Caenorhabditis elegans: one gene and its partners. The protein of the gene in region 4 interacts with the protein of the main gene of each other region in a biochemical or structural test. Each region holds a gene or a part of one and is shown on either strand. Other genes may lie near its edges. The genes, in order: flp-14, flp-4, flp-34 and npr-1.

Region 1 (7,180 bases), on a different chromosome or scaffold from region 4:
ATCTTGAAATGGCAGAGTTTACTGAGAACCTAGGCCGCGGCCAAGGCCACGGATTTCTGGCTTCCCTCATAAATTGAAATGGAAGAGTTTGCCGAACTAGGCCATTTTGGCTCGGCCATATCTGGGGTAGATTTACGGCGCGTTGCGTGTCGCGTCGCGGCTCGATTGTAAAACTAAATGTCCGTGTGGAGTTCACACGACTTTCCCGGCGGCCGATTGTCAATGGAGCGCGAAAAAATCGATGAGGAAGGCTAGAAGCCTGTGCATCATTTCCGCAAATTTTTTGAAGCTCCGTCGCGGTCATGGCCGATGTTCCCAACTCTCTCGGAACGCTCCGTCTTCATAAAATGGGTCTCATTAGGAATTTGGTCGTTTTAGCTATTATTCGTTATTTTTAATGATTTTTTTCGATTTTTTGATTTTTTGATTTTTTTCGTCACAAAAAACATTAAAACACACTGAAAAAATTAGAAAAATTAACGAAATCAGGAGATATAAAAAAGTTTGAATTTACGATTTTGTCGCCAAAAACCTAACGAGACCCAAGTTATGTCACTATGCGGCAATTCAAAAAAAGACAAATGTGTTATTTTGTTCTGGAAGTTACAATTTTTCACAAAGTCAGACCAATTAGAGCAGCCTCTTTCGAGTGAAAAAAGAAAAGAAAACACTTAACGAGCACACACAAATTTTAGAAGAAAAAAAAACGGAGCACCACGTGGAGAATTGCACGAAAACAACATTAAGCGATGGTTCTATACTTCCTTTTTTGTTCTGAACGTTTAATTTGGGAATAGTTTGAGCAAAGCCTAGGCTGGTCTAGGCTGGTCTAGGCTGGCCTAGCCCAGCCTAGCCAAGCATATTTTAGCCTAGACTCCCAGCTTGGCTAACCTTGCCTAGAATCCCAGTCTTGCCTAGCCTAGCCAACCTTACATAACGTATCCTACGCCTACCTAGTCTAGCCTCACCTAGCCTAGCCTAGCCTAGCTTAGTATACCCTTAACTAACCTAGTCCAACCTTATCTTACCTATCTTATCCTATGTCTACCTAGCCGGGCCTAGCTTAATCTAACTTCCCAGTCTTGCCAAGCCTAGCCAAGCCTAGCCAAACCTAGTCAAGCCTAGCCAAGCCTACCCTCACCTATCCCTGCCTAGCTTAGCCTAGCCTGGCCTAGCCTTACCTAACTTATCCATCGCCTGCCTAACCTGGCCTAGCTTAATTTGTCCTATTCTTACCGAGTCTAGCCTAACCTAACCTAGTCTGTCCTAGCCTAGCCTAGCCTAGCCTCACCTAGCCTAGGCTCACCTAGCCTTGCCTACTCTTCACTAGACTCCTAGACTTGCCTAGCCTGACCTATCAATACATCTGCTCTGTTCAAACATTGACCTCCTCTGTCACTTAACTCAATATGCCCCTGGGCCTCCTTACGGAACCTCCGATACATTTTTTTTGGTTTTTTTTATTTTTTATTACTTCCGGGGCAGATTCTCAGATGTTTGAGGTGTTTTCTCTTTTCCAATTTTCCCGGAAAATTTTAGCGAAATCCTGCTAATCCGGGGACCCCATCCCCTCGGCTAATTAGTATTTGTTTTTTTTTTCGTAAAATTTTTAGTGCTACCGTACTCTTGAATTTTGTTTCATTTTTTTTTCTTCTCCTCGAGCTCTACCAAGCCACGCCCACAACATTTCACTTTCAACACCGAGCTCCGCCCATTTTGAAGTCTCCTCTGGCTCCAACTGAGAGCTCTCTTCATATGATGATCTGCCTGCCCACCGCGCTTCTGCTCTCCGCGTTCGTCGTGGCCGCCAGTGGCCAGGAGGCACCGGCTGGAGCCGGAGCTTCTGGAGCCGCACAGGCTCCACACAATCCGAAGGATTGTCAAGCGGTGAGTCAAAAAAAAACCATTTTGTTCTAAGAAGTTTAAAGTCATGTTTATAATTGGGTTTAAAAAAGTTTTTTTTTTCAAAACTGCAAGTGGAAGTTATAATGAGATAGTTTAGTGCATTTTGGAAAAGTTTTTCGAAAACTAAGTTAGGGCCTGCGTGACGTCATACATCCCATGGTTCTCAAAATTCTGAGAATGCGTACTGCGCAACATATTTGACGCGCAAAATATCACGCAGCGAAAACTAATGACTACTGTGTATTGGTTTGATCTACGCAGATCTACGAGAATCGCGGGAACTTAGACGCAGACTTCTTAACTGATTTCGCATGGTTAAGAACGTGCTGCCGTCACATTTTCTGGACAAAAAATTTGATAAATATGATATTCTTTTGATCCTCATGACGTTTCGGTTGTAGTAAACTTAATAAGATCACAATTTCTGCTCATTTTTCGGGGGAGGATTGGATGCACAATAAAGATTAAACAACTTGCGATGAATAGAAAAAAAATCTATTTTCTTTTTCATAGTTAATCTAGATGATTCTAACCTGATCATACTATTCTCTGTTTGATTTGAATGTGTTTTTTTGTGGGGTTGGAAAGTAGTAGATCAAAGTTTTTTTAGAACTCCACTTTGGTAGATCATAACTCGGTTCATTTTATAGATAGCAAAATTTTTTAAACTATAAAGTTGCAGAAAAAGAAAAAACCTATATTTTTCTAGTTAACAACTTTTTGATAAAGCTAAAGATAGCCGAGATATGAGCTGTCAAATACGGGCTTCATCTCACCGTAGTCCTCGACAAAAATCTGAACCTATAATTACAAGGCTTCCGGTTGGTTTTTTTTTTGAAACCATGTAATTTTCGTGCTTTTCCCAAGGATTTTGTTCCGGAATAATCACTGGGTTTGAAAAACGTACTACTGTAAAAAAACACATTTTCCAGATTCTGGCCAACAACGGCGATCAACAAGAGGCGCTTTTGTGCCAATTAAGCGAGAGCAGCATGCTTCTTGCTCAGCTCGGAGCTCTCGTTTCGGAGGGAGTTGAACGTCTCGTTCAGACTCACGGTAAGTAGGCAGGTAGTAGGTAGGCAGTAGGCAGGCAAGAGGCAGGCAGTAGGAAACAGGGGCACCGCCGAAAATTTTTTTTTCGATTTTTCGGTTGTTTTTGAGCATAACAGAAAAACAAAAAATTTAAAAAAAAACCGAAGATCCGGCAGCCCTGGTAGGTAGGCAATAGGCAGGCAGTAGGTAGGCAGTCGGCAGGCAGTAGGCAGAAGGGGTGCCTTTGCCAGGTTTTTCGGTTTTTTTGGGCAAAACCGAAAAATCGGAATACCGTAAAATTGGAGTCTGAAAAACGAAAGTTGGCAGTAGGCAGGCAGTAGGCAGATAGTAGGTAGATAGTAGGCAGGCAGTAGACAGGCAGTAGGCAGCAGAGGTGCCTATGCCAGGTTTTTTTGGTTTTTTGAGCATAACAGAAAAACAACAATTTTTTCAAATAAACCGAAAATCCGGCAGGCAGCAGGCAGGCAGTAGGAAGGCAGTAGGCGGGTAGTAGGAAACAGAGGCACCGCCGAAATTTGTTTTTTCGATTTTTCTGTTTTTTTTTTAGCAAAACCGAAAAACGAAAATTAAAAAAAAAAAAACAGAAAATCCGGCAGGCCAGGTAGGCAGTAGGTAGGCTGAAGGCAGGAACTAGGCAGTAGGCATGCAGTAGGCAGGTAGTAGGCAAATACTAGGTAGGCAGTAAGCAGGCAGTAGACAGGCAGTAGGCAGCAGGGGTGCCTATGCCAGTTTTTTTTTGGTTGTTTTATAGCAAAATCGAAAAATCGAAAAACCGTAAAATGGGAATCTGAAAAACGAAAGTTGGCAGCAGGCAGGCAGTAGGCAGGCAGTAGGCAGGCAGTAGGTAGCAGGGGTGCCTATGCCAGTTTATTTGGTTTTCTGTCTTAGCAAAACCGGAAAACAGGAAAACCGGCAAGCCTAGTAGGTAGACAGTAGGCAGTAGGCATGCAGTAGGCAGGTAGTATGCAGGCTGTAGGTAGGCAGTAGGCAAGCAGTAGGCAAGCAGTTGGCAGAAGGGGTGCCTTTGCCAGTTTTTTCCCTTTGGTTTTTTTTTAGCAAAACCGAAAAACGAATTTTTTCTTTAAAAAACACCGAAAATCCGGCAGGCCTGGTAGGTAGGCAGTAGGTAGGCAGTAGGCAGGTAGTAGACAGGCAGTAGGCAGCAGGGGTGCCTTATCCAGTTTTTTTGGTTTTCTGTCTTAGCAAAACCGAAAAATGGAAATACCGTAAAATTGGAATCTGAAAAACGAAAATTGGCAGTAGGCAGGCAGGCAGCAGGCAGTAGGCAGACAGTAAGTAGGCAGTAGCAGGCAGTATGCAGAAGTAGGAAACAGGGGCGCCGCCGAAATTTGTTTTTTCGATTTTTCGGTTTTTTTAAAGCAAAATTATTTCAAAAAAAAAAGCAGAAAATCCGGCAGGCCTGGTAGGTAGGCAGTAGGTAGGCTGAAAGCAGAAACTAGGCAGTAGGCAGGAACTAGGCAGTAGGCAGGCAGACAGTAGACATCCGATTTGCCAGCTGCATGAGTCAAACTTCATTTTCTCTGCATCAAATAAGCCTCCGGTGACCCAGCCGAAAGCCTAGACTATCAATCACGTTCCGCCATTTTCTTGAAAAAGCCCCTGACTTTTAAAATGTAAAGCGCCAAATTCTTTTTAAATTCTTAATGATGGTTGTGCTCTTGCTTTGAGGTCTGATCCCAATGGGAAACGTTGTTGCAGGATTGGCTCTCGAGGAGGAGACCAACGAGGGAGACAATGACATGGAGAAGCGCAAGCACGAATACCTCCGATTCGGAAAGAGAAAGCACGAGTATCTCAGATTTGGAAAAAGGAAGCACGAGTACTTGAGGTTTGTGATTTTTTTTTAGTTGTAAGGCAGGCAGTAGGAAGACAGTAGGCAGGGTGTAGGCAGGCAGTAGGCAGACAGAGAGTAGGTAGACAATAAGCAGGCAATAGGCAGGCAGGGAATAGACAGGCAGTAGGCAATCAGTAGGCAGGCAGTAGGCAGACAGGGAGTAGGAAGACAATAAGCAGGCAATAGGCAGGCAGTAGTAGGCAGATGTTATTATGGCGCCGCAAAAAGCTGCAACTGTTAGATGGGGGCAAATACGCTCCAACGTACAAATGAATACACCCAGGAAATTTTTGGAACCAATTTTCTTAACGAGACCCAAATTATGGCAGCGTTTGGAGCGCAATTGCACTTTTTTTTCGAAAAATTGTCATTTTTGCGTCACCGTAATACTTCTCAGGTCTCTACACGAATTTGCTTGTTTTTTTTTAATACAGAAGGAATTCAAAAGCCTATAAAGATTACTGTAGTGTCCTGCAAAATATTATTTATTTACACAAAAATAATACGGACAAATTCTCGAGGAAATGATAGAAAAACTTTGAAAAATCGATGAAAATCAAAGTCGCACACCTTTTCGAATTTAACGAAAAATTTGTCGCGTCGAGACCTGTATTTGTGGCTGAAAAATCGTGTAACAAACTTGCGCGTAAAATATGATGTCTGTGCATCGAATTTTATGCGCGAATTTTTTTTCCCACTTTCACGGGGTTCAGGCCTTCCTCATTGCATTTTTCGCGCTCCATTGACAATCGCCTGCCGGACAACGCGTGGGAAAGTCGTGTACTCCACACGGACAAGTGATTTAGATTTACAACTAAAATCAAGCCGCGACGCGACACGCAATGCGCCGTAAATCTACCCCAGCTATGACCGAGCCAAAATGGCCTAGTTTGGCAAACTCTTCCATTTCAATTTATGAGGGAAGCCAGAAATCCGTGATTTTTCGAGCACAATTTAACGGAGAGAACAAGCTCTGATCTTCGCACTTTTCCGTAACACTATTAAACTTCAAAAATTGAATTTTCGACTCAAATTCGGTGTTCTTTTTGTTTGTTTCTAAATCAAATGTCACACGATGTCTCTAAAGGAAATTGTGTTCCATCAAATTTCCCCTATTTTTTTCAGATTCGGAAAGAGAAAGCACGAATACTTGCGTTTCGGACGCAAATAAGAAGGGAATATCTACTATCATCGAAGAAACATCTTTGAAAACCATACAAATAAAAGAAGAAAAAGACGGAACTACAGTACACCATTTTTTTTTGAAAGATTTTTTTTTCTATATTTTTCTCTCTATCTCTTTTCTCTCTCCCTCTCAGCATTGTCGAAAGAAGAAATTGTAATAAATCTTGTCGTTGGTTAAGAGTTATTTTCTAGAAGTCAGAGGAAGATAAGTGCGCAACCGACATTAAACAAGGTTCACGATGAACCACTTTAAAAACGATTTAAAGAAAGCAAACTTCTGGGTCTTGTAGAAATTTCTGGGAATCTGGATTTTTTGACAAGTTTTGCTGGAATGCTCAGAAAAAAAAACACTTCGAATTTTTTAAAATGTACGGTAAATTTTTTATTAGAATTTTTGTCAATAATTCCAAAAAATGAACAAAAACGCAATTATAAGATCCCTTCGAGATAAATGGAACAAAAAAAAAAGAATAAATATAAGTAGATCGTATTAGAAATTTACATGAAAATGAGCAATAAAAAATCCCAAGACTTCTGCCGAATTACTGCACGTAAACTCCACGATCGTATTTATTGAACTTTTGCGAGCGCTGTAGAATCTTATCGTTGACAAGATTTGCAACGAAAATGGCAGCGATGCCGAGGAAGCATCCAACGTTGAGTCCAGCCATTGCCTGTAAGAAATTAATTTTGAAAAGTTTGTTAAATTTGGCAAGAGTTCGCGAAGTTTGGCAAAATTTAGCAAAGTTTGGCAAAAGTTGGTAACTTTTGGTAAAAGCAGGCAAACGTTTGCGAAAGTTGGCAAAAGCTGACAGAAGTTTTTGAAAAATTGCACGATTTTGAAACTTTTCTAAAATGGGCAATTTTGTAGTTAGAGGACTCAACATTGCTCTCCGAACACTTAAAAAATGCCCTTTTTCAGAATGTAGCGGTTTTAATTTGTACATTTTCAGAAAAATTATTTTTTTCCCCAAAAAAAAGGACAGCCGTTAGATGGCAGAAAAATGAAAATGGGCAAAAATAAAAAGTTGCCTAAATTTGTTGAAAACGGGTAAATCGTATATGGACAATTCAGAAAATCTAGGTTTAACCCGTCAAAAACCATTAGTGGCAAAAATGGACAATTTATTGCAAAAAATCACAATTTTGAAACTCCTCTAAAATGGGAAATTATTTAGTTAG
Region 2 (8,452 bases), on a different chromosome or scaffold from region 4:
CAGGCTCTGAAATCGAGCCGGCTTACTATGGAAACTCTAGGATTCCCTTGATATGCATATTTATTCTTTTAAACTTGAGCTCAACGTTTGGCATTCATGAGATCCCTATTCATTCTCCAGATTTCCAATTTCGCAGTCACCTCTTCCTTATTTTTCATCTACCAAACAACCTCTGGTCTCGTCTACGTAGTAAGCCGAATCGCGTGTTAGAGCTAAAATAATTGTGCATTTTGAATTTGCATTAACACGATTAAATTTTAACCTGCCAATGGATACCAGGAATTCATTTAGCAGCACAAACATCGAAATCCTCCCCCTCCTTATGCAAAGTCTTATATCCAAGTACAGTAGACTCAGAATTCCAACTATATCTTTATCTCCATAAATTGCCGAGCTGGAACGGAGCAAGAACGAACACTTTTTGAACCTTCTCTCTCCCTATTCACAAATACAAACATATCTTCCTTTTCCCAAAATTTTCATACTTCCTGCCACGAAATGATGTAGCTATATATATGAAGTTTGGGTTTCCCTATAAATAAAATAGAAATATAGTGAAAACATAGTGGCAAATGATATTGAATATGCTATAGACTTGGTAGAACACATTGAGTAGTTTGATGACTCGGACGTGAATAAGTAATTTGAAAAAAATAGCTTCCGCTGACTAAGCCCCTTTTAGAATTGCACAGCATTCTTTCAGATTTTCAATAATTTAATAATTTAAAATGACGATTTCGTCTTGTTTTGCACTACTTGTAGTATTTATAGTGCTTCCCAAATATCTTGAAATGTGTAATTGAAAGCCTGCGGGTTTAATAGAAAATTAAGCAGCATTTTTCTTTTTTTGTAGATGCTTTTCAATTTTTTTGGATTTTGTGGAGATGTTATGTTCTTTAATATTTATTCAAAAAAGGAGACAACTGGTAAAGTTAAATTTTTGCATCAAAACTTTTCCGAATAGATCTGTGGTCTTTTTTGGTAAATTGCCGAGTTTTGGAAAATTATAAAATTACCAAAGTTATTAGAAAAATAGTCCAATACGAACAATTTTTTTGATTTTTCATGCCCCAATCCGGAGCCCACACAAATACTTTTGAACTACATAACCATTTCCTCAATTTCCCCACGTACAAGTGGTTGCAAATTGTGCATTTCCTTCTCCTCCGAGCAGAAGATTGTTTGGATGAGTTGTCTGGATTATTTTTGGATCAGGAGCAATTTTCTGTTTATTAAAGAAAAGCGCAGAAAATAACACGAAAAAAAAGGCTTGATTTCTTGGTTCTTATTTTGTGCATGTTTTAGCGAAATTGCAAAATGTTGACCGATCTGATTTTCATAATTAGGAAAATGTTAAGACTTACTTATCTTTAGTGATTTCCCGAGACCTACGGATTCGGATTTTATTTTTGCAAAAAAGGAAAGTAAAATGAATAATTTCAATAATTCATTTAACTGTCTTTAAAAAATTTGAGCACTTGTTCCAATATTAAAAGTGTTCTATCATTTGCGGGGTTCCCAAAAAATCCTGCTATTGTTTTTTGTGGGATTTAAACTTTTTCAGCTCTTCAAATCAATAGGCTATTGGTGCATATATTGTCTTCTGACGTTTTTTTTCAGTTTCTATATAAAATTTTTGTACTTCCTTCTAATTTGACAGAATAATTCTAAAATCACATATTTGAACTGTGGGCGCTGAATTTTTTTGAAGAGCATGAATTTGAACCCGCAGCGACGGGTCTTTATTTTACAATACAGACGTTTTCCAAAGTTTCCCGGTTTTCCCCGAATATTCCAAAAGTTTCTAGAGTTTCTAGAAGGTTCTCAACCTTTCCTAAATTTTCTAAAATAAATTCGAAAGCCAACATCTACGCAAGATAATTTTTCAGTCGAACTACGGTAGTTTTCAATCAACTTTATCTAAAAATAGCCGAAAACCCCCATTACCTCCTAGTTTGGTATTCCAAAAGATCAAACTTATTGGGGTAGTTGGACCCCCATCCATCTTTTGGCACGTTTCATTCCCGAAGTTCCGTCATAAATTCGATGTCCCCCTCCACCTAATCATTGATTCGTCATGCCTTGTCAGACAAAACCCACGTCTTCAGCTTTTTGGTCGTACCACAATTTTTTCTCCAATGATTCCATCATCATTCCTCATTCCCCAGCTCGTAAAGAACTCAATAAAACTGTCCTCTTCTTCCTCAACCCATTCCTACTTATTCTACATATATTCCAACTTCCAGTGTCCATTCCATTCTCCTTTTTTGTGCTGTCTCCTTATTCTGTTTCCTTTTTTCCCCTATTCAACATCATTCCAGTCACATTCATTTGATTGCGCACTAGGCTCCGCCTGCTCACGCCTTTCTTCGCAAATTCATATTTGGATCTCAATATTTCCGCAAAAAATTGGTAGGTTTTTTTTCGCTTTGACATCAATAGATCTAGTTGACGTGAAAAGCAAACTGGCAAAAATGTTCTTTGAAATTCATGAAATTTGACAAAAAGTTTTGGTCTAACAGCAGTATCTTGAGGCCACAATGGAGCATAACCAGAAAACGTGGTGTATCTGACTGTTTTTTTTTCTGGAAAATCTTCAATTTTTTCGAGGAACTTCTTGAAGATTGTTGTTGTTTGGTTTAGTCTACGTGACCATTTGTAGCTGCCATAGTTATTTTCATTTTTCGTTTCAGAAATCGGAAATTGGTTTTGCTTGAAAACTAGCGAAAAGTGGGCGTCAAACGATTATTACTAAACACATATTGTTGATTAACTTCTAGAGTTTTTATTGGAGTATTTGACGTTAGCCATTGCAACGTCATTCATACAAGTATTTATATAAGACAATGTACATTTTTTCGTTCATAATTTTCTTGAGGTATGTCTAGTGTCTAGTGTATCAAATTTCTAGATATGTATTGTGGATCTAAATTTAGGGTATCTCCAAAGAGTTATACAAGGTTGTTTTCCAAATTAGCACCTCTAAATAATCGAACCTACATGATTTGAAATTGCTTTAAAAAAATTTTTTGTTTGAAAATTTACCAGTTTTTCAAAACATTTACTAAACATTTATTCAATACAGTAATGCATTTCAAAGCTTTTTATGACTTGAAAAAGCTATAGAGTACATAAATCTAAGCCCAAAAAAAAAACCGCAGACTTGTTTTTTATAAATTTAAAAAATCTTGAATTCAAAACACGTGTTCAATTTTGGCTTCTTACATGTATTGTTTTTAATAAATGTTCCGATGAAATCTGCAAGCCGATTTACTAGACTTACAAGAATAATTTCTGACTATTCATTGTTAATCTATAATCTTCTTATCATGTTACATATTATCTAGTTAGTCATTTTCTTGTCTTGTTCTGTTTTCAATTTCACTCATTTGCTCTCATATTTCTTTTTCCTGAATTGAACCTTGGACGCTCAAAAGCTAATCGAAGAAAAATTGCCGAGATTCGGGAATTTTGATTGATGTTGTCGAATTAGTTGTTGCTTGTTCGAAAGTGACAACATCAGACAAAAACACACACGGATTTTGAATTATTACCTATCCATGTTCCTTTGATTTTCTATTAAATTGTCCTTTAAGGTTTCAAAAATGTTCGGAAAACGTAGGTGTAACCTGAAGAGTTAGGAGGAACGTCTATTTATGGTCCATCCAAAAATAGTTGTTGTTATTCAATTTGCGGCACCGAATCTTCAGATATTCGAAAGTTAAGAAAAACAAGAAGTTAGCTTTTAGGACTGAAAGACAGCTTCCTGCAAAAATGTTCTTCTTTTTATGGAAACTTGAGAGCCAAGTTCAAAAGATGAAAAGTTAAGTGGGCGTCTTATTTGTGTGGGCAAAAGAAACTGTAAATACATTTTTAGATTTAGTATATATGCAGGACTACTTTTCTTTCTTGTTATAGTTCTTGTATAGCATCGTCGTATGCACGCACGTCTTCAGGAGTATGTTTTGTATTCATGTTTTTACAACTTTGGCAGTAGTCATGACATATTTCCAAGGAACGTAGGTTACCTTGAAGGCAGGCAGAATATTTTCAGCATAACATGGAAGATTTAAGTTGTTGTTGAATTACGTAGACAACAAAATAACATTTTGAGAGTTCTTTCTTTGCTAATTGTATTTACGTCTCCTATAAAAATTGAGCATAGAATAAGATCATTCGTTCAGATTTTCATGCTTCTTGGATCGACTTATAAGTGTACCTTTATATTACGGGCTACAGTAAAATTTCCTTCTTTTTAATTCAAAATCTTCATTCAAACATCTAGCTGCTACACAACAGGGGTGTGAATCAAGGGCTCGAAAACTGGAAATGCCTGATAAATATTTTGCAAATTTTAATATTCCGATTTGGAAGTCGCGTAGTAAAATGGTTTTCAAGGAGCTTCGAGGTCTTCAAATGTTCTTTTTTTTTAGAATTTCAAGCTTTCACGCACTTGATTTACACTCCTGCTCCCTGACTCCATGACTGTTTGATGAGCTCTTTTGAACTTTAGTGGTTTCTGGCTTCTTCAATAGTCCAGACGTAATAAAAAGTGTCCTTCTTTAGAAAATTAAAAGTTGGAATACTTTCCTTAAAACTATGGGAGAAACTTCTCTTACTCTGAGAATTAAGAAACTGTTTATCACTATTTAAAATTCCAGTTGAAGCATCGTGATCACAAAACTCAGAGCTTTACCACAAATCCAGAAAACAGAAAAGAGTTCTTGAAAATTATAAAATCTTTACGTGGGAATCTGAATACGTAGAGAGCTCTGGAAATTTACTTCCAGATAGGAATTTCTATCATTACACCGGGAAAAATATATCAAAGAACCACCATATTTTTTTATAAAACTCTTCAAAATGTAGTACGTGACTGTAGCCCAACTACTCAATTAATTCCAATTGCGTCATTTTTCCAAAAAGGCATTTCTCAAAATTTTCTCAGGATTTTCCTTTTCAATCCATCATATTTTCCAATTATTCTCAGATCAAACCACGCACCATGACAATTTTTCCACATTTTCCAATCCAATTTTTAATCAAACTGATTCTGATAACTCATATCACACCTAATAAAGTAATTCTACACCACGAGTTTGTACGCACAAATCTACAAATTGTGACCAATATCCAGTGAATTTCTTAGTATTTTTGCATGCATTTTTAAGCACCTCCAACTGTTCTTCACATTTCTTATTATTCCGTTCTTTTTCTTTTTTCTCTGCTGGGACACATTTTCAGCGCCGTGTGACGTCATATAATTCATTGAAATTTTAGAGTTTCAATGTGGTATTAGAATTAAATGTATTTTTGCTGTACAAAGAATATTCATTTTCAAAATACTTATTAGGTTTCATTATGCCACACTACCTGACTGATCATCTGTTACAGTTACCTATGTGATGAGTTTTCGTGATAGAAAATCCGGAAAAAGACACGGATGTGATTTTTGACTATGCTTAATCCTGAGAGACATCCATTATCGCAAACAATAGAACCTAAAAGAAAAATTAGAGTTTAAGATAAATGTTAAGGTTATTCAAAAAATAGACTTTTGATCTTATTTGAAATGGCATGCGGAAGAAACTATGAATGAACGAAGTTTATGACAAAGATCTGAATCCTACGCAGTACGATAATTTTCCTGAACGAAAAACAGTAGAAAGCTTTCAAATGAAGAACATCCAAGCACATACTGTTCGCGTTATTTTACTTTGAAATGATCTCTAAAGGCCCCCAAAATGCTTACCTGCGTGCCTCTTGGACATTTTGTGATAGTTTCGATGATATGTATTTTTGTGCCTATGAATAGGCTAGGTGATAGATTTCCTTGTTTTAAGACAAACACTTCCAGCAAGCTTTTGAAACTAGACTAAACTTATCACAATTCTAATTTTATTCCTAAGATCGCATTGTCAATTCACTTTCCGAAGATCATCTCGTCCATTAAAAGATTATTCTTTTTCACAGTGTAACCTAAACCTTGATTCATTAAAACATGAAAATGTAAGCAATAGATTAATATTAATCCTAATCTTAGACTAAAGTCTGATATGTGTCGTAATAATACCCCTTTGGTATTTAGTTAAGGTTTTTTGAACTGAAGGTTTAAGTATAAATACCTAAGAAATCCACTCTTACAACATTAGTTTCAGCTTTTGAATTTGGCAAAGTGGTGAGTTCAACTTTTGACTCTGTCTTATTCATTAGAAGTTTTATTCTCCATTTTGAAAATCTATCAGCTTCTGAAATCTTATCAAAATCACTGAATTCCAGCAATTATGGAGATCAATTGACAATCTACATACATGAATAGGTAGGCATTTTTTGCCTACACTCAACAAAGTTTATGACCACGTTCGAGACAGTAAATAGGTGATTTACTAATTGAAGTTAACCCGTCACTACCGTAACCCTAGAGACCAATAGATATAGACACAAACTAAAAACCAAAGGATTATATTTCATTGAAAACCAAAACGTCTGTAATAATTTCTTTAGACACATAAAAGAAGCTCGACTAAAAAATATTAGTTATTTTAGAAGCTTAAGTCTATAATTAATCCCTTCCGAGGAGGTTAATGTGAGTTTGAAGTTTTAATAAGGATCTTTTATAAATTCGTATTGTTTACAAACTTATAATTTTTGATCCATCGGATAACAGAACATGGATTCAACGCATAATATCTGAAATTGACAAGTTTGAAAAATTTGGCTGGCTCTAAAGATTTAGTTCTGGTGTTTTTTCCAGCTATCCTTTAAGCTTCAGAAATTTGTTTGGAGAACCATTGATTTTTGTTTAAATTTCATAGAACTACTTCTAACGGACCACCAGCATAATTTTGAACCCTTGACGTCAGACCACACCCACATTTCCTTCTTTTCCAACAGAAATTATGCAAAATTTGAAAGTTCAAGAGACTTCACCACTCAAATGCTCATATCGGGTGTCCAATCAGCTCGTATAATGTTCAGAATAGTTCTCATGTTTCATTACTTATTATAAAAAAGGTCTTTCGGTCTTTCACTTCTTACGTGGGGGCTCAATGTCTTCCAGGAATCGGGCGCACCGGTCTTGATGTTCTCCGAGATATTTCTTTGCATTATTGATACGTTTTTTTAAATTTTCTTTCTTCTCTCTTTGACGTGCGTTTTTGTGTCATTGGATATTTAAATAAAATATTACGATTAGCCAATAAATAGTATTTACCGTATTTTTAATTAGTCCCAGGGTGAACAGTATAAGAGAATAATTGAAAACTTTTTAATCAACTCAATGATAATTTAGAATAATCCCGATCAATTTTCAATCTCCAACCTTTTCCGAAAACTATTCCACACGCCTCATTGCAGATGTTTTTTTTTGAGAATTGAACCAAAATGTCTAGATAACAAAAATCAGCTTGCACAGGAAATATTTAGCACGTCAAAGTTTTCAAAAATTACGTCAAAATGTTGAAGATGCGTCAGTTGAGAAACATTGGTGATTGAGTTTTTGAATAAAAGGCTTGAAGTTTGTGAAAACGGATGTGCGTTTTTGTTTTTTAGGAAACCTATCACTTTTAGACACCAGTGAAATGTTATTTCCTCTATTTTTGGAGAATTATTGAAGTACAATTGTTTCATGGTATTTTCCAACTGAACGTCAATTTTTTTTTAAACAGGTAAACCAGAAATGCCAAAAAAGCAACCAAAAAAAGTGTTCGAATTTCGTTTTCAGGCGAAACAAAAATTAAAAAATTTTGAGCTGGGTGCGGCCAAACTTTGGGCAATCCCGGTTTATTCACCCTTTGTTTAAGTTAATATTGATAAATTACTTGTCCTCTAATTTTTTAATCCAACCATTATCAACGTCACACTGACTCCACCCCTTTATCAATTGTTCTCCGTTTCTTTTAAAAGCACCTGCTCAACCTTTTCGTCGCATAATTTTCCGCTTCAAGCTCCCCCTTCCCCTTCTTCATTATTTCTGCAATTTTCAGACAACTACAGCGACATGAACGCCTTCTCCTCTTCCCTTAAAACATTCATCTTCTCCTTGCTTTTTGCCACGTTGCTTGCACTCACAGCAGCTCATCCACCGTCATCTGGTGAAGAAATTGCTGAGCAAGAAGAGAAGAATATTGCAAGTCCAGATGAACTTATTGTAAGATTTTTAAAAATTGAGAAAAGTTATAAAAATAAATGAATGTTTCAGCCGGAAATTGTCGAGCAGCAAAACTTCTGGCCACCAGTGCATCTTCGTGGATTACGGTAAGTAGAAAAATTGCCTTGCGCCTAGTCTTCACATTTTTTTAAATTATAAGATATAAGTTCAAAACGAAACATTCTGAAACGCTGTGTAAATTAATTTTCAAATTCAATATGCTTACTTGTCAAACGTAAAGCTCTCATGGTAGGCAGGTTCCTCTTTAGATCCACATGCCAGTCTGCCTACATGCATATACAT
Region 3 (8,307 bases), on a different chromosome or scaffold from region 4:
GGCAGGCACGCCTACCTACTTTCTAATTTTGTGAATTGTCAGTAAACTGGAGGGTTTGTATTGAAGTAGGCATAAAGCAGGCGTAGGTACTTTCGTAGGCATGCCAAAAACAACAACTATATTTGCACAGGACCTTGTAGGGCCTAGAAATTTCTAAAGTTGTTAAACTATTTCTAAACCAAAACGAGTCCCAGTTTTCCAGTTTACGAAATTTTTTGTTGTTAGATAGTTTTGGTTCTTAACCTTTTTTCTAATTTGTCAATACCAAAACAAATTCATCAATCAGGTGAATGACGCTTAGACGATTCTGATTGATTAGAAATTTTTTAATTAACCTTTTTGGTTACTTGGAATTGATTAGAAAATGTTTTGGCCTTATGGTGAACTAAATAAACGGTGCAAAACTTCAGTCAATTTGCCTTGTGTCTTCAAATTTTCATGGGATCTCTGAAAATTTACAAAAACTCTACCTAAAAACGATATGTTTACCCAAATGTAGTTCTCACAACAATCTATATTTGGGATCTCAAAATTATTTTTAGTTCTCTAACGTCATTTATTCTCACTGCTAATTATGAAATATGTACGAGGAAATTTCGTGGCAATTTTTATTTCTCGAAAGTTCCAAAATTTCCATTTTCCCATGGTCAACTGTAGTAAAGAAATATTTTAGAAAATTGACGTCACACTCAGCCGAAATTACGGTAGAATTTTTTTTTGAGTTTTTTTAATTGAAGTCAAAAAAGGGAAAACTAAATTTCCCCTTTCGCCAATTTTGGAGGTCAACCCTCTTTTTTTTTGGAAAATTAGATTTTTTGCCAATAACTTTGTCTATATAAAATTTTTGAAAAACCTGAAATATTCTCAAACATTTGAAAATTTGAAAATCTGAATGTATGAGTGTATTAAGACCAGAGGTGCGCGGTAAATATTTTTACCGGCAAAGTCGGCAATTTGCCGTTTTTCGAGTTTCCGGCAAATTCGGCAAACCGGCAATTTGCCAAAAACAAAAATTGCCGGAAATCCGGAAAATGGTCGGAGTTGAAAATTTCCGACAAATTCGACAAACCGGCGATTTGCCAAAAATTAACATTTCCGGTTAATCGGCAAATTGCCGGAATATAGAATTTCCGGCAAATTCGGCAAACCGATAATTTGCCAGAAATGAAAATTGTCGGCTAATCGGCAAAATTTTGGAATTGAAAATTTCCGGCAAATTCGGCAAACCGGCACTTTGCCGAAAATTTTGAAATTTGCAGACCACGTGCTTGATTTGCATCAAGTTCTCATGCCCTTTAAATTATTTTCTCTCTATACAGATTTCCTCATATACATTGACATCATGCCCTCTAACAACAAGAATAAAAAAATTAAATATTAATTTGTATTCGAATTCGGAAATTTCCTTTTTTTGCGCTTTGTGTCTCAAATAATATGCGGTGCTAATGAATTTTTCATTCCGAAATACGACGGACTTGTTGAAGGATTTCCTGAGTTTTCACAATTTTACGTGTATTATTCGAATTTTTACAGGAATCTTGCAGTTTCTGACTCTGGTCCAGACGTGGCCGCGAAAATTAGAAAATTCGGCCAGGAATTTATTTTTGATATTTTTTGTTTTTTGCGGCCTCTAGTATGAATACTGTATGCTAATCTCGAGGTTTTTAAATTAAAAAAAATACTCATGGCCGAGTTTCCAATTTCCTAGGCCACGTAGCAGCCGCATTTCACCTCAAACTCTCATTTTCTCGGAAATTTTTGCTGAATTCCTTTGAAATTCAGCTCAATCTCTAAAAATTTTACTTTCAGGTACCCCCGTTGCAGAATAAAAATGCACAGCTTGATCACAGAATTGCTCATTTTCTTCACAGTTCTTCTTTCTGTCAGGTAATTTTTTTAATTATTTTTTAAGACAATTACATGGTTCATTTCAAAGCTCTAAAGAAGATTCTAAAGGCTTACAACTAGAAAATTTAACCTTGGCAAGCAGGTAGGTACTTGAACTTTTTTTTGGTACAATATTCCTAAAATTCTTCAAATAATCTGAGCTCTTTAGCAAACAAAAGTTGTCAAAATCTATGAAACTAGATCAAAAATTGGTTTTTGAAAAGCAAAAACGAATCAAATTTCATTTGTACCAGGTGAAGGGTTTTTTGATAACTAGATCAACATTTTATTTATGCAGAATCACTTTTTTTATTATGAAACTACATTTGAAAAAAATGTATTCAAAAATATGAGGAAGCAATTAGGCTTTCGAAACTCGCAAACATAGTATTTTTGGAAGGTCTCGCAGTAAAATTCAAGTGACGTCATACCGATGAATTTCCCGCAATTTTTATAGGTAAAACCGATATAGATTACTATATGTGACGTAGAAAAATATAAAAGTCGATAAAAATTACCTTGTTCGAAATTTAAATGTGGACGGGTTTTATCTTTCTCGTGGACGCGTTAGAAGGAGACCTGCCTGCCTATGTGCCTACCTATTGCCTACCGCCGCCTCCAATAAAAATGCATATTTGCTAATTTCTGTCTATTTTCATTTCCATTAAGTTTCTTCATGGGGTTTGCTTTGAAGGCAGGCAGGCAATTAGGTGCCTGCTGTCGGAAATTGCATAGCATCAACAATTTTTGGAAAATTTGAAATTGAGGAAATTTACTTTTTATTTTTATTTTTATTTCCAAACAGAGGGATGGGGCTCATTTACAAAACTCATTTTTATCCAAAAAAATTTTTTGAAAATATTTTTTTGGAAAATTATATAGAAATGTAGAGAAATATCTGTTCTTTCTGAAAACAATTTTATCTTTATTTAAAATGTTTGAGAAATTGCCGAAAAACTGCCTCAAAGCCGGCCGTAATGCACCTAGGGTCACTGACTCTATCGGCACATTTTGACTTTTAGGTGGGTTTTGAGCAGCTTTTTGAATTTTTAAAGAAAAAAGTAATACCATTATCAGAAAGTACAAATGTTTTTCTATATTTCTGTATAAATTTTCGAAAAAAATTGCCGGAATTGCTAAAATTTTTAGAAATTTCAAAACTATAATATTTCAGCTATTTCAGAAATTCCTGAGCCCACTCCCTCGTAGGAACCCAATTATGAAATTGTAATTTTGGCAGAGAGGGAAAATAATTTGTTTTTTCGCAAATAAAAGTGACGCGGTGATGCTTTCAAAATTGAAATATATACATGTATATATCTGTGTATATTTTTCTGTTTTTCCATATTTCCCTCCTCGAAAACCGCTAACAAATTCTATCCGGTTACCCAATTTCGGTTTAAAACCATTCCATTTAATTGGCACCACATTTCCGTTTAGCTTCTTCCTGCTTTAAGCCTAAAACCTAATTTACCACCCAAAAAGTCGTAAAACAATCGTATTATTGTCATGGATTCATCGTATAGTATATAAAAATACCGTAGCTGTGTGTGATGACGTGGCAACAAGAAAAAATTAAAGAAGAATGTGATGAAAGGCAGGCATCATTTCCTGGGAGCACCCACCATTAGGCGCCGCCCACTTTTGGCTCGGCGAGCAAGAGGGGGGAGAAAGCTCATTCTGTTTTCGACACCCGATACATACACTCACACACATTTTCCACTACTAAACATATTTTCTAAAACATGCAGTTCCAATTTTTGATGGCTCTGATTTTTGTTGCTTTGGTTTTAACTGACAGGTTGGTACTGTGGGGGTACTGTGGGGGTACTGTAGGGGTACTGTAGGGAATGGTACTGTAGATTTTTTTTGTTGAAAGTACGGTAGTTTTATTATATGATTTTTTTTAATTTGAAAGTTGTTGGTTATGAATTTTTTGAATTTTTTTAAATACGAAAATTTTGTTTTAAAATTTGGTAAGAGACCATATTTCTGTTTACTGTGATCCTACATTATTTTAACATTACTATAGTGTATTACTGTAGTATTACTGTAGTATTACTGTAGTACCTTTAACTGAACCAAAATCTATAACTTAATACATTGGTTGGGCCAAAAATATTTTGCAAAAATTTTTTTAATGATTTTTGTTCAAAAACTATTTTAAGGGTGCAGTATCATCTAGGATAATTAGAAAAAACTCAATATTTTTCAAAAAAAAAATTACTATAGTCTCATTAAATATATGTGTTAATTTGTAAGTTATAAGGTTTTTTTTTTGAATTTTTGGAAAAAAGAAAAAAAAATCCAAAATTTGGTTAAAATTTTTTGGGTCGAAGTTTGAATTTCTGAGCTTTTTTTTTAATTTTTTGGATAAGCTTATGTTCATTTCAGTTTAAGACAATTTTTAGAATCACAAAATTAATTGGGATAACTTTGGAAAAAAATCAGAACAATTTTAAAAAATCTAAAAATTATAAAAACTTGATGTTTTCTAATTTTTGAACTTACTACTCAGTTACTTACTCAAATTTAAATCTTTTCGAAATCTAAATTTAGCTTGTCTGCGCAAAACATCATGGCAGGTGAATTTCTGTTTGAAAAAAATGTTTTCGACCAAAAATTGCAGTTCAACTTTTCTCAATGACGTGGCAAAATTGAGATAAGTAGGATTTTTTTCATGATCTTTTTTGAAAATCCACAAAAAAAAAGTAATTCTGAAACAAAAGGGGATTAATTTGGAGTATTAGTCAATGCTCATGAGTAATAAATTGTGAAAAAGTCAACAAGGAAGCATCTCAAAACAATCAAAAACTAGGCTTAATCCCCCATCTAGATTTGGATCAACAAATTTTTGATAAATTCAGATATGTAGTAATACTGTTAATAGTTGAACCAAAAATTCTAAAAATTGAAATTTTTTTAAAAATTTTTTAAAGTTTTAACCTGTTTCCTATTTAGAAATTTCATACATTTTGAATTTCGAACATGATGCATCAAAAACTGAAATTTCACAAATCGCGACGAGACCCACCAAAACTTGGGCATGCGCCTTTAATACATTTCTGGGCGTAGTTTAAATTTAAATTTGAAAATTTCAAATTTCCGTTCATTTGCGCTGGAATTAAAAAAAATCGTAGTCCCTGTAAACTTTTTTAAGAATGTATATAAAAAATCCTCGAAAATTTGGAAAAATTATATAATTTTTTAAAACAGTTATATTCGGTATACTCACGTGGCGTCAAGCTGTCCCATTACGGTTTGATCTACAAAAAATGCGGGAATTTTCTGCCCAGAAAAATGTGACGTCAGCACGTCCTTAACTATACAAAATCAGTTGAGAACTCTGCGTCTCTTCTCCCGCATTTTTTGTAGATCTACGTAGATCAAGCCGAAATGGGACACTCTAACACCACGTGTATACTTAGACTATGTTATGATATTCAAGTAAAAAGGATTACTGTAGCAATAGTTTCAGCTGTGTCACGACATAAAAAAGTTTTGCAGCGTACTATCCCTGCCACTGGAGAAAAAAGCAGACATTTCCACATTTGCATCAGCTATCAATAATGCTGGACGGCTTCGATACGGCAAACGATCGGACCCCGCAATGTGGGAAGAAAAGTGAGTACTGGGAAATTTGCGCGTAAGATATGGTGCATCGAGGAACACCAGATTTGACGCGCAGAAATTTGAAAACTAGTTGGTCATGGAAAAAATTCTAGACGCTGGTTCAAACCTATGCGATTTCTAAACTTTTTCCACAATTTGGAGCCCAGCGATCGGTACGTAGTGTGCACTTTTTCTATCTTTTCAGTTCATTTTTCTTGAAAATTTAAGTTTTTTTTAACATTTTCAATTTCCGAGTGACATTTTTCAATAATTTCAACGCACTCCAACCTTTCGAAATCCAATAAAAGTGTGTGTTTTGACCGGAAATCTCAAATTTGTGTCTAGCAAAAGGAGATGCTCTTTACAAACTTGTTTGCTCCAGCAACAACCCACCACTTTTCTTCGAAATCATCACGTCATTTGAAATAAGAACTTTGCAATTATAAAAGTAATGTAGCCTATGAGAAATTTGTGATTTTCAGTAATGTCATCATTCCATCATCGGAAGATCAGTACCTCTACTCGGAAGGACGTTATCCGTACGCATTGTGAGTTTCTCACTGGGGTAAAAGAACCTAGGCAGGCTTATAGCCTAGGTCTATAGCCTAGACCTATATTCTAGGCCTACAGTTACCTACAGCTTAGCCGAGACCTATGGCCTAGCCTAGACCTATAGCCTGGCCTAGGCCTATAGCCCGGCCTAGGCCTATAGCCTAGCCTAGGCCTGAAAATTGAAGAACAAAATTTAGGAGGCAGGTGAAATTTTGAAGTAGTAAATATAGAATAAATTAGTGATTAATCAAAATTTCACCTGTTTGTTCCTGCATTTTGGAACGTAGATCAAAATTTGGAACTAATTGAAAGTGGATTAGCGGAGGAGTTTTATGACGTGGGGGCGCTTAAGCTTCAAAGCTATAAAAAGATGTTTCCGAATTTTCAAGATTTAAACCCTCTCAACAAAATACAATTTTAAAATGTACAATTCGAATGACAAATGGTTGAATAGATAATTAGAAATTTGGCAGAGAGTTTGAAAAAAAAAGGACATTTTTCTCGGAATCAGAAAGTCGTGGCGTTTGGTCGGGTCATTGGGATGAAAATTTTTCAAATTTTTTGAGGAAATCCTCCTGAAACTAAAAATTATTTCAGAATCAAACGTGCGCTGAACAGAGACTCCCTGGTGGCTTCTCTCAATAATGCGGAACGATTACGGTAATTTTTAATTTTATTTTTCGAGATTACGCCTATGGCCTACGCCTATGGCCTACGCCTATGGCCTACGCCTATGGCCTACGCCTATGGCCTACGCCTATGGCCTACGCCTGTGGCCTACGCCTATGGCCTACGCCTATGGCCTACGCCTATGGCCTACGTATATGGCCTACGTATATGGCCTACGCCTGTGGCCTACGCCTGTGGCCTACGCCTATGGCCTACGCCTATGGCCTACGCCTATGGCCTACGTATATGGCCTACGTATATGGCCTACGCCTATGGTCTACGCCTATGACCTACGTCTATGGCCTAAAACAAAATATAATCCATTTTATTTTCAGATTTGGCCGTAAATAATTCCATCACGTCAGCCCGTCCGTAGCCGTCTCGTTTTTTTTTCTAAATTTTCTCTCTCGAGGTTTTGTTTTTATTTCAGATATTTAATTAATTTATTTATTCTCTAAAAAATTTTCCTCATTCAAAAATTCGCTTATTCAAATTTTTCATCATTCACCATCTTCCTGTCTTGTATCAAATCAGTCCCCCCAACTCGTTTTTATTTTTTATTTCTTTCTCAAAAAAAAATCAAATAAAGTTTGTGAGTCTGTTGTTTTGAAATTTATTTGATCTAAAAAGAGCGGGAACAGAATGGTCGAATAAACAATCGGGATATTAGTGCGCCAAAATTTTTTTTGGTTTGAATTTTTGATTTGAATATGATATTTGTGGACATTGAAGTTTGATCTTTTTTTTTGTCATAGGCGTAGGCCATAGGCGTAGGCCATAGGCGTAGGCCATAGGCGTAGGCCATAGGCGTAGGCCATAGGCGTAGGCCATAGGCATTGGTCAAAGACGGTTGCTATAGGCGTAGGCCATAGGCTTAGGTAATAGGCGTAGGTAATAGGCGTAGGCCATAGGCGTAGACCGTAGGCGTAGGCCATAGGCGGAGGCCATAGGCGTTTGCCATAGGCGTAAGTCATAGGCGTAGGCCATAGGCTTCGAGTGAATTCAGAATTCTCAATCTCAAATGTTTATTTTAATTTCCTCAGAATAAACTTTTGCCAGATGTCAGATTAAATGAATACAATTTCGAATGAGTCCACTTCGAAAAAAGTTAAGAACTTTGAGACAGATCTATGTATTTCCGACAAGAAACCCCTTATCAAAGCAGTGACCAATACTGAAATGGTCTTATCAGAGAAGGAAATAATGTCCGAGCAAACAAATAAAAAGTTGTGAAACTATTTTCCTCACTCTATTAACTTTATTGACCTTTTTCTTGAAAATATTTTCGAGTTTCGAAACATTTCAAATAATTTTTTGTCTATTTTTGAAAACAAAATCTTATTTATTTGTTTGTTGAGCCAACGTCTTTGCTTATAAATTTTGTCCCTTTTTTCTCAATTTTTTGAAATTTTATAATAATTCCAGTAAAAAATGTCTGAAAATCAAGGATTTGTGCATGATGAAATTACAGTTGTACCGGCAACTCCAACAGGACAGGTGGGTTTTTTTCGGCAATTTTTCATTTCAAAATTATTTTTAAATGTCATGAGAAATTTTTCAGCAAACGGACTCCACGAATGCGAACCA
Region 4 (5,994 bases):
ATCTGTATATTTTTTAACTTTTTGGTGCAAAATTTGAATTTCGAAGAAGTTTTTTTGAAGAAGTTTTTCCCTACGTAGTTGATAAACTCGGAATGTGTGACTGTGGCCATTGAATAACCCTACTAATTTCTTGTAAAATTTCTGCAATTGTTGGATGTTAAAGGAGGAGGAAAGGTTTGGATTGTCATAAACGTACACACTAAAAATGTGCCCAAATGAACGACTCAAAAAATGTTGCAATATTTTTTGTGGTAGTTTGAAATTTTGAAAAAAAATACAGCTAATTTTAGTGGAATTTTTGAATTTTGCCTACTTTTCTGTAGCACAGCTGTTGGATATGAACTGTTAGTCAATTACCATACTTTATTGCATGGTGACTTTTTCAAACATTTAAATAATCATGAAACATTTTTGAGCAGTATCTAATAAATTTGATCATTTCAGCTATTTTTGAGTTCATATTTTCAATATATCCCAAACTGTTATTCCCATTTTAAACAACCAATAGGCCTTTTGAGAAATTATGAATATACATCTTACGGTTAGTTTGAAATACGTGCAGCTTTAGCATGATACCAACAAAACAGGGCACAATGTGCACACCGCGAATCAAAAATTCTTTCGTGATGCGCCAATAGTGCTCGGACCTCAATGTGTTCATAATGCTCATTGAGTTTGTGAAAAGCACTTAATTTTCTCGGTCTCATGCAACTAAATCTCTCAGTAAAAGGAAATAGTTCTGAATAGTCTCCTTAATTTCAAAGAACAAATATTTCTTAATGATGTTTTGATTTTCGAGGATAGATAATATATTGCAAAATGATTTAGTTTTAATTTCTGAAAACTTTGAACTTTATTCATAACAATTACAATGACAACTACTTGAACTTTAAATTGAATTTATGAAAGCATGAAAACAAATTTTCCTTATTAGTAACTAGTTTGAAAAATAAGTTCGTTAGCCTAGTTGTTAAAAAAAATATAATAATAGGATTTTTTTCATTGAATGTTCCAATTTGATGCATTATTCTCCTTGAAAATGAATTGTGATTTGAACGTCGCCCGATCCAATTGTAGCTCAACTTTAAAAAAATCTGGCTTCAGAGAATTTCGAGATTAAATTTAATCAGTTTATCCAAAACTCAATCAGCCTCTGGGTTTGTGTTGTTTTGATTGATATCAAAAATTTAATCTCAACCCACACATGATCAAAACCATTGTCACTTTTTTTTATTTCCTACTTAAAAATTCAATTTCCGTTGTTTAACGAAAATAGAGTTGGAAAACAATTGCGGAATTTTTGAAACCTGTTTCAGTAAATTTTCCCCACATATTCTTTTTCTCTTTTTTCTCAGGTATTCATCTTTTCGGCCCTCGATCCCTTTTTCATTAACGTGAACATGTCAACCATTTTTCGGCTTCATCACACAACTCCCTCTCACATCATTCCTGTTTTTGCTCTCATTTCACATTTAGCAAATTTCAACGCAATTTTTTTCTGGTTTCCGTCTAAGATATTCGTCACATAGATCAGTGCTGTTTTTTTGACACAGGGTTTAGAAATTTTGAACCTTGGTTTACCAATATCTTGTTTCTATCCATTTATTACTAGGTAGTTGTTGAACCATACGGAAAAAATAAAAAATTTTCCACTTGTCAAAGCGATAGATGACATCCTGTGCTTCCAGTATCTATAATTCTGTAATGAATCTCTGTCATTTGTAATCTGTATCAATTCGCAGGTGTATTCCGCCAAAAATATACATTCTGAAAGCTCAAGATGGTTTTAAGGTCTCCGATCTTACAATGTGGTTGAACTACCTAATTAGACTTACCCTATTTTTTAAAAGTATTGCACCTATACTGCCTTATCACCCAGATGCAAAATATTGCCATTTCACAGCTTAACTAAACCTGATCTTAACACGACAAGTTTTTTTTGTCAACTGAAAACATTTGCACCTTTAAAAAATACTGTATATTGAAACTTATAAAATTTTTGTAGACTCGTAAGAAAACCTATGAAAAGACCACCAAAACTCATCAACGAGAAATGAAAAGTACAGTAATCTTTATAAGTGCACACAATCTTTATAAGTTGCATTTTAAAATTTTGTCGTATTGTCTAGACCGGGAACCTGTTAGTGGGCCAAGAAATAGTATAATTTTGGGGTTTTTAAAGATGTGAGTACGAAATATTTAATTTCTATAAGCCATAAGCCATGCTAAAAAAACCCTAAAAATTTGCTTACATGAGAAGAAAGAATTATACTCAGCCAAATCTCTAATCACTTTCTGGAAACTATAGGATTTTATTTTTTATCTATTAATCTATTTGGTTAACACCCTCTTTCATCTTTGTTTCCTCAATTTTTCTTTCCTCCATTAGACTAAAAAAATTTCAGACATAGGCCAAATGGAAGTTGAAAATTTTACCGACTGTCAAGTATATTGGAAAGTGTATCCAGATCCTTCTCAAAGTATATATGCGATAGTGCCATTTCTGACCGTGTACCTTTTTCTCTTTTTTCTTGGACTCTTTGGAAATGTGACCTTGATTTACGTAACTTGCAGCCATAAAGCTTTACTGGTACGTTTCGTTTTTTTTTCGGGTCAAATTTTGTTCTGTTTTGGAAAATTGACAATTTCGGGTTCTCTGAACAATTTGATTCGAAGTGCATAGTGCGTACAGCTTACTGACACCCGGCTAACGAGAGACGAGGTTATCCATGTCTACTTGAAAAGTGACGTACATATTTGGCAAAAAAAAAAAACACTCTTATAATTCTATATAACCAAATATCATAATAAACGTTTCACAACTAGAAAAAAAAATTTTATAGACAGTCAAACTGAGTAATTACCACTTCTTGAAAGAATTTTTCCAAAAACGAACCAAATACGTGATGGAACATCACAAAAATGTTTTTAACATTTTTTGAAGCGGATCAAGATTTTTACTCTGACTAGTCCAATCAAAAATCCCAGAACCTTCACTTCTCCTGTGAATTATCATTAAATTTCAGAGCGTTCAAAACATATTCATTCTGAACCTGGCGGCGAGCGATTGCATGATGTGCATATTATCGCTTCCAATCACTCCAATCACAAATGTGTACAAAAACTGGTACTTTGGAAATCTACTCTGCCATTTGATACCATGCATTCAAGGTATTTTTTCTAAAACAAGAAGTTTTTTAAAATGACGTTTTTTTTTCAGGTATCAGCATTTTCGTATGCACATTCAGTCTCGGTGCGATTGCTTTGGATCGGTATATCCTTGTAGTAAGACCACATTCTACACCACTATCCCAAAGAGGAGCATTTCTTACTACTGTTCTATTGTGGATCCTCTCTTTTGTTGTAACTCTACCCTATGCGTTCAATATGCAAATGATTGAATACACAGTGAGTGTCGTTTTTTTCTAGGTATTCAACTTCTTATACAACTAGTACCCTCGTTTCAGGAAGAGAGAATATGCGGCTACTTTTGCACTGAAAAGTGGGAATCTGCCAAGTCTAGAAGAGCCTACACAATGATCGTGATGCTCGCCCAATTCGTGGTCCCATTCGCTGTCATGGCCTTCTGCTATGCAAATATTGTTTCGGTGCTCAGCAAGCGTGCTCAGACAAAGATACGCAAAATGGTGGAGAGAACAAGCGCGTTGGAGAGCTCTTGCGCATTCCCGTCGCATGGTCTTGAACAGTATGAAAATGAGGTAGTTTTATTGATTTTCAAATTAAAAATTCACATTTGATTTCGTTCCAGTTGAACGAATTTCTAGACAAACAGGAAAAGGAGAAACAACGAGTTGTACTTCAGAACAGAAGGTATTAAATGCAAGGTTTCTAACCGAAATACTATTTGTGTTTTAGAACAACGTCAATCCTAGTTACCATGGTTGTCTGGTTTGGGATAACTTGGCTGCCACATAACGTCATTTCTTTGATTATTGAATATGATGACACACAATCGTTTTTCCGACTTTATGGCAGAGATGATTACGATATCAGTTATTTACTGAACCTTTTCACTCACAGGTTTGATTTTAACCAAGAACGAACGGTTTTGACCATTCTGAACGTATAAACCCAAACATGCCTCAAATGAACAAATTTCAAAATAAAACTTCTCAAAATTTTTTTATGCCGGTTCATTTTTTGGAAAAAGACCTGGGTTTAGCTAAAATATTCAATTTCTGTCACTTTTCCGCAGCTGTCGAAAGTTGACTTTTTTTAAAATTATCGTCCTTTATCGCATATTTTAATAGTTTATCTCACTTTTTTCGATCATTAAGGTATTTTTTAAGCCAATAAGTAACAAAAAATGAACAAAATCGGCTACCTATTGGATTGAAAGATACCTTAATCAACGAAATAACGTGAAATAAAAGCTACAAATGGCACAAATGATGATTATTCAAATAAAGCCAGTTTCTGACCGCTGTGAGTCGGGAAAGTGGCTAAAGTTGCGGATTTAGCTGAAATTAACGTTTTGGCCCAAAACGTTTTGAGAAGTTTCATTACGAAATTCGTTCAATTGAGCACATTTTGTGACTATATGTTCAAAATACCCAAAACCGGATCCCTCCTTTGAATTCAATTTTTTTCATGTTTTTGCAAATATTAATTTTAACGTTTCTAGTATTGCCATGTCGAACAATGTTTTAAACCCGGTACTCTATGCGTGGCTGAACCCAAGTTTCCGTCAACTGGTCATAAAGACATATTTTGGAGACCGGCGTAAAAGTGACAGGTTTGTTGTCAATTTCGAAAACGCGTTGTAATTGTGCTTTGTCTTCCAGAATAATCAATCAAACATCAGTTTACAAAACAAAGATCGTGCATGATACGAAGCACTTGAATGGAAGAGCCAAAATTGGCGGTGGTGGTAGCCACGAGGCGTTGAAGGAGAGGGAGCTGAACTCGTGTTCGGAAAATTTAAGCTATCATGTGAACGGTCATACGAGGACTCCTACACCGGAAGTTCAGTTGAATGAAGTTTCAAGTCCTGAAATAAGGTAGAACGTGAATTTGAAATCGTAATTAAAATTTTGATTTTTTAGTAAACTTGTTGCTGAGCCGGAAGAATTGATCGAGTTCAGCGTCAACGACACGCTAGTCTGATTGTTTTCTGACATATCCTTTTTTCGTTGATTTCGCAACTATCATCACTTTCATCCTTGCTGAAATAGTTTTTATGATCTTTTTTTTGAATAAATAATACATAGGATGCATATATATCTATAAGTGTTTTCATGACGTACACATACGAAAATTGATGATATGTGGTCTCGTAGACTAAACGATCATCTCGTGTTCTACAAACGAATGATTCAAAGCAAAGTGCTTCAGAAGACTAGAAGGTAGGGAATTAAACACGAAATTATTATGCAAAAAGAAGAGTTCAAATATTGAACATGTGGTAAAACAAAACGCTATGCAATATTTTGGAGTTTTGAAAATTTCAGACAAACTGCCGAATTTTTCGGAAATCGGGAATTTTGCTGAAAAATTTCTGAGCCATCATTCGCCGGAATTGCCAATCGAAAAATGATTTACAGAACACTAAACAAGGTGTAATAATTCGTTTTCAGAATAAGATTAAATTTAAAAGTTGCTAAAAATTGTCAGCAATCTGCAATTGCGGAAATTTCAGCAATTGCCGAAAATGTTAATTTCCGAGTATTTTTGATTGCCGTGCACACTTTACTTTTTACAAAATTAAAATACCAACAATTGAATACATGTTTGTTTCTTTTTAAAATAACAAATCTCAAAAACTGATTAATTACCATTTTGTTACTGTAAATAAATTTTTAATAAATTTTTTAAGCTGCAATTTTTTTTAAATATTTAGTCGCAAACTTGTTGCACTAAATGCTGAAACACAAATTTATTTGCCGTTTGGTTGTTTTCTGAAAATTCAAACAATAGTAATTAAGAGTTTTTTCTGATAAATGTTAAAATTTCACTTACATTTGTAAATTAGAA

Evidence for each region.
Region 1: of the proteins of npr-1 (region 4) and flp-14, one has a biochemical effect on the other in vitro, tested with the Caenorhabditis elegans proteins (one study listed by BioGRID).
Region 2: of the proteins of npr-1 (region 4) and flp-4, one has a biochemical effect on the other in vitro, tested with the Caenorhabditis elegans proteins (one study listed by BioGRID).
Region 3: of the proteins of npr-1 (region 4) and flp-34, one has a biochemical effect on the other in vitro, tested with the Caenorhabditis elegans proteins (one study listed by BioGRID).

Annotation. Positions count from the first base shown.
Region 1 is NC_003281.10:12,908,757-12,915,936, forward strand, and holds flp-14 (KHEYLRF-amide 4), read left to right. Parts: upstream 1-1,753; 5' UTR 1,754-1,755; coding exon 1,756-1,887; intron 1,888-2,837; coding exon 2,838-2,961; intron 2,962-4,677; coding exon 4,678-4,807; intron 4,808-5,938; coding exon 5,939-5,984; 3' UTR 5,985-6,174; downstream 6,175-7,180. Other genes in the region: Y37D8A.16 (MARVEL domain-containing protein), read right to left, coding at 6,541-6,672.
Region 2 is NC_003280.10:10,046,640-10,055,091, forward strand, and holds the start of flp-4 (FMRF-Like Peptide), read left to right. Parts: upstream 1-2,228; 5' UTR 2,229-2,412; intron 2,413-7,985; 5' UTR 7,986-7,999; coding exon 8,000-8,149; intron 8,150-8,200; coding exon 8,201-8,256; intron 8,257-8,452.
Region 3 is NC_003283.11:1,026,910-1,035,216, reverse strand, and holds flp-34 (FMRF-Like Peptide), read left to right. Parts: upstream 1-1,812; 5' UTR 1,813-1,831; coding exon 1,832-1,887; intron 1,888-3,564; exon of another isoform or gene 3,565-3,632; coding exon of another isoform or gene 3,633-3,688; intron 3,689-5,394; coding exon 5,395-5,511; intron 5,512-5,981; coding exon 5,982-6,047; intron 6,048-6,648; coding exon 6,649-6,711; intron 6,712-7,055; coding exon 7,056-7,071; 3' UTR 7,072-7,323; downstream 7,324-8,307. Other genes in the region: R09A1.3 (UPF0496 protein), read left to right, coding at 8,152-8,217, 8,282-8,307.
Region 4 is NC_003284.9:4,766,397-4,772,390, reverse strand, and holds npr-1 (Neuropeptide receptor npr-1), read left to right. Parts: upstream 1-2,405; 5' UTR 2,406-2,416; coding exon 2,417-2,590; intron 2,591-3,026; coding exon 3,027-3,171; intron 3,172-3,220; coding exon 3,221-3,408; intron 3,409-3,467; coding exon 3,468-3,719; intron 3,720-3,769; coding exon 3,770-3,831; intron 3,832-3,876; coding exon 3,877-4,041; intron 4,042-4,645; coding exon 4,646-4,756; intron 4,757-4,805; coding exon 4,806-5,021; intron 5,022-5,066; coding exon 5,067-5,127; 3' UTR 5,128-5,239; downstream 5,240-5,994. UniProt on the Caenorhabditis elegans protein: G-protein coupled receptor for FARP(FMRFamide related peptide) neuropeptides. Activated by FARP neuropeptides flp-18 and flp-21. Plays a role in modulating social and feeding behavior.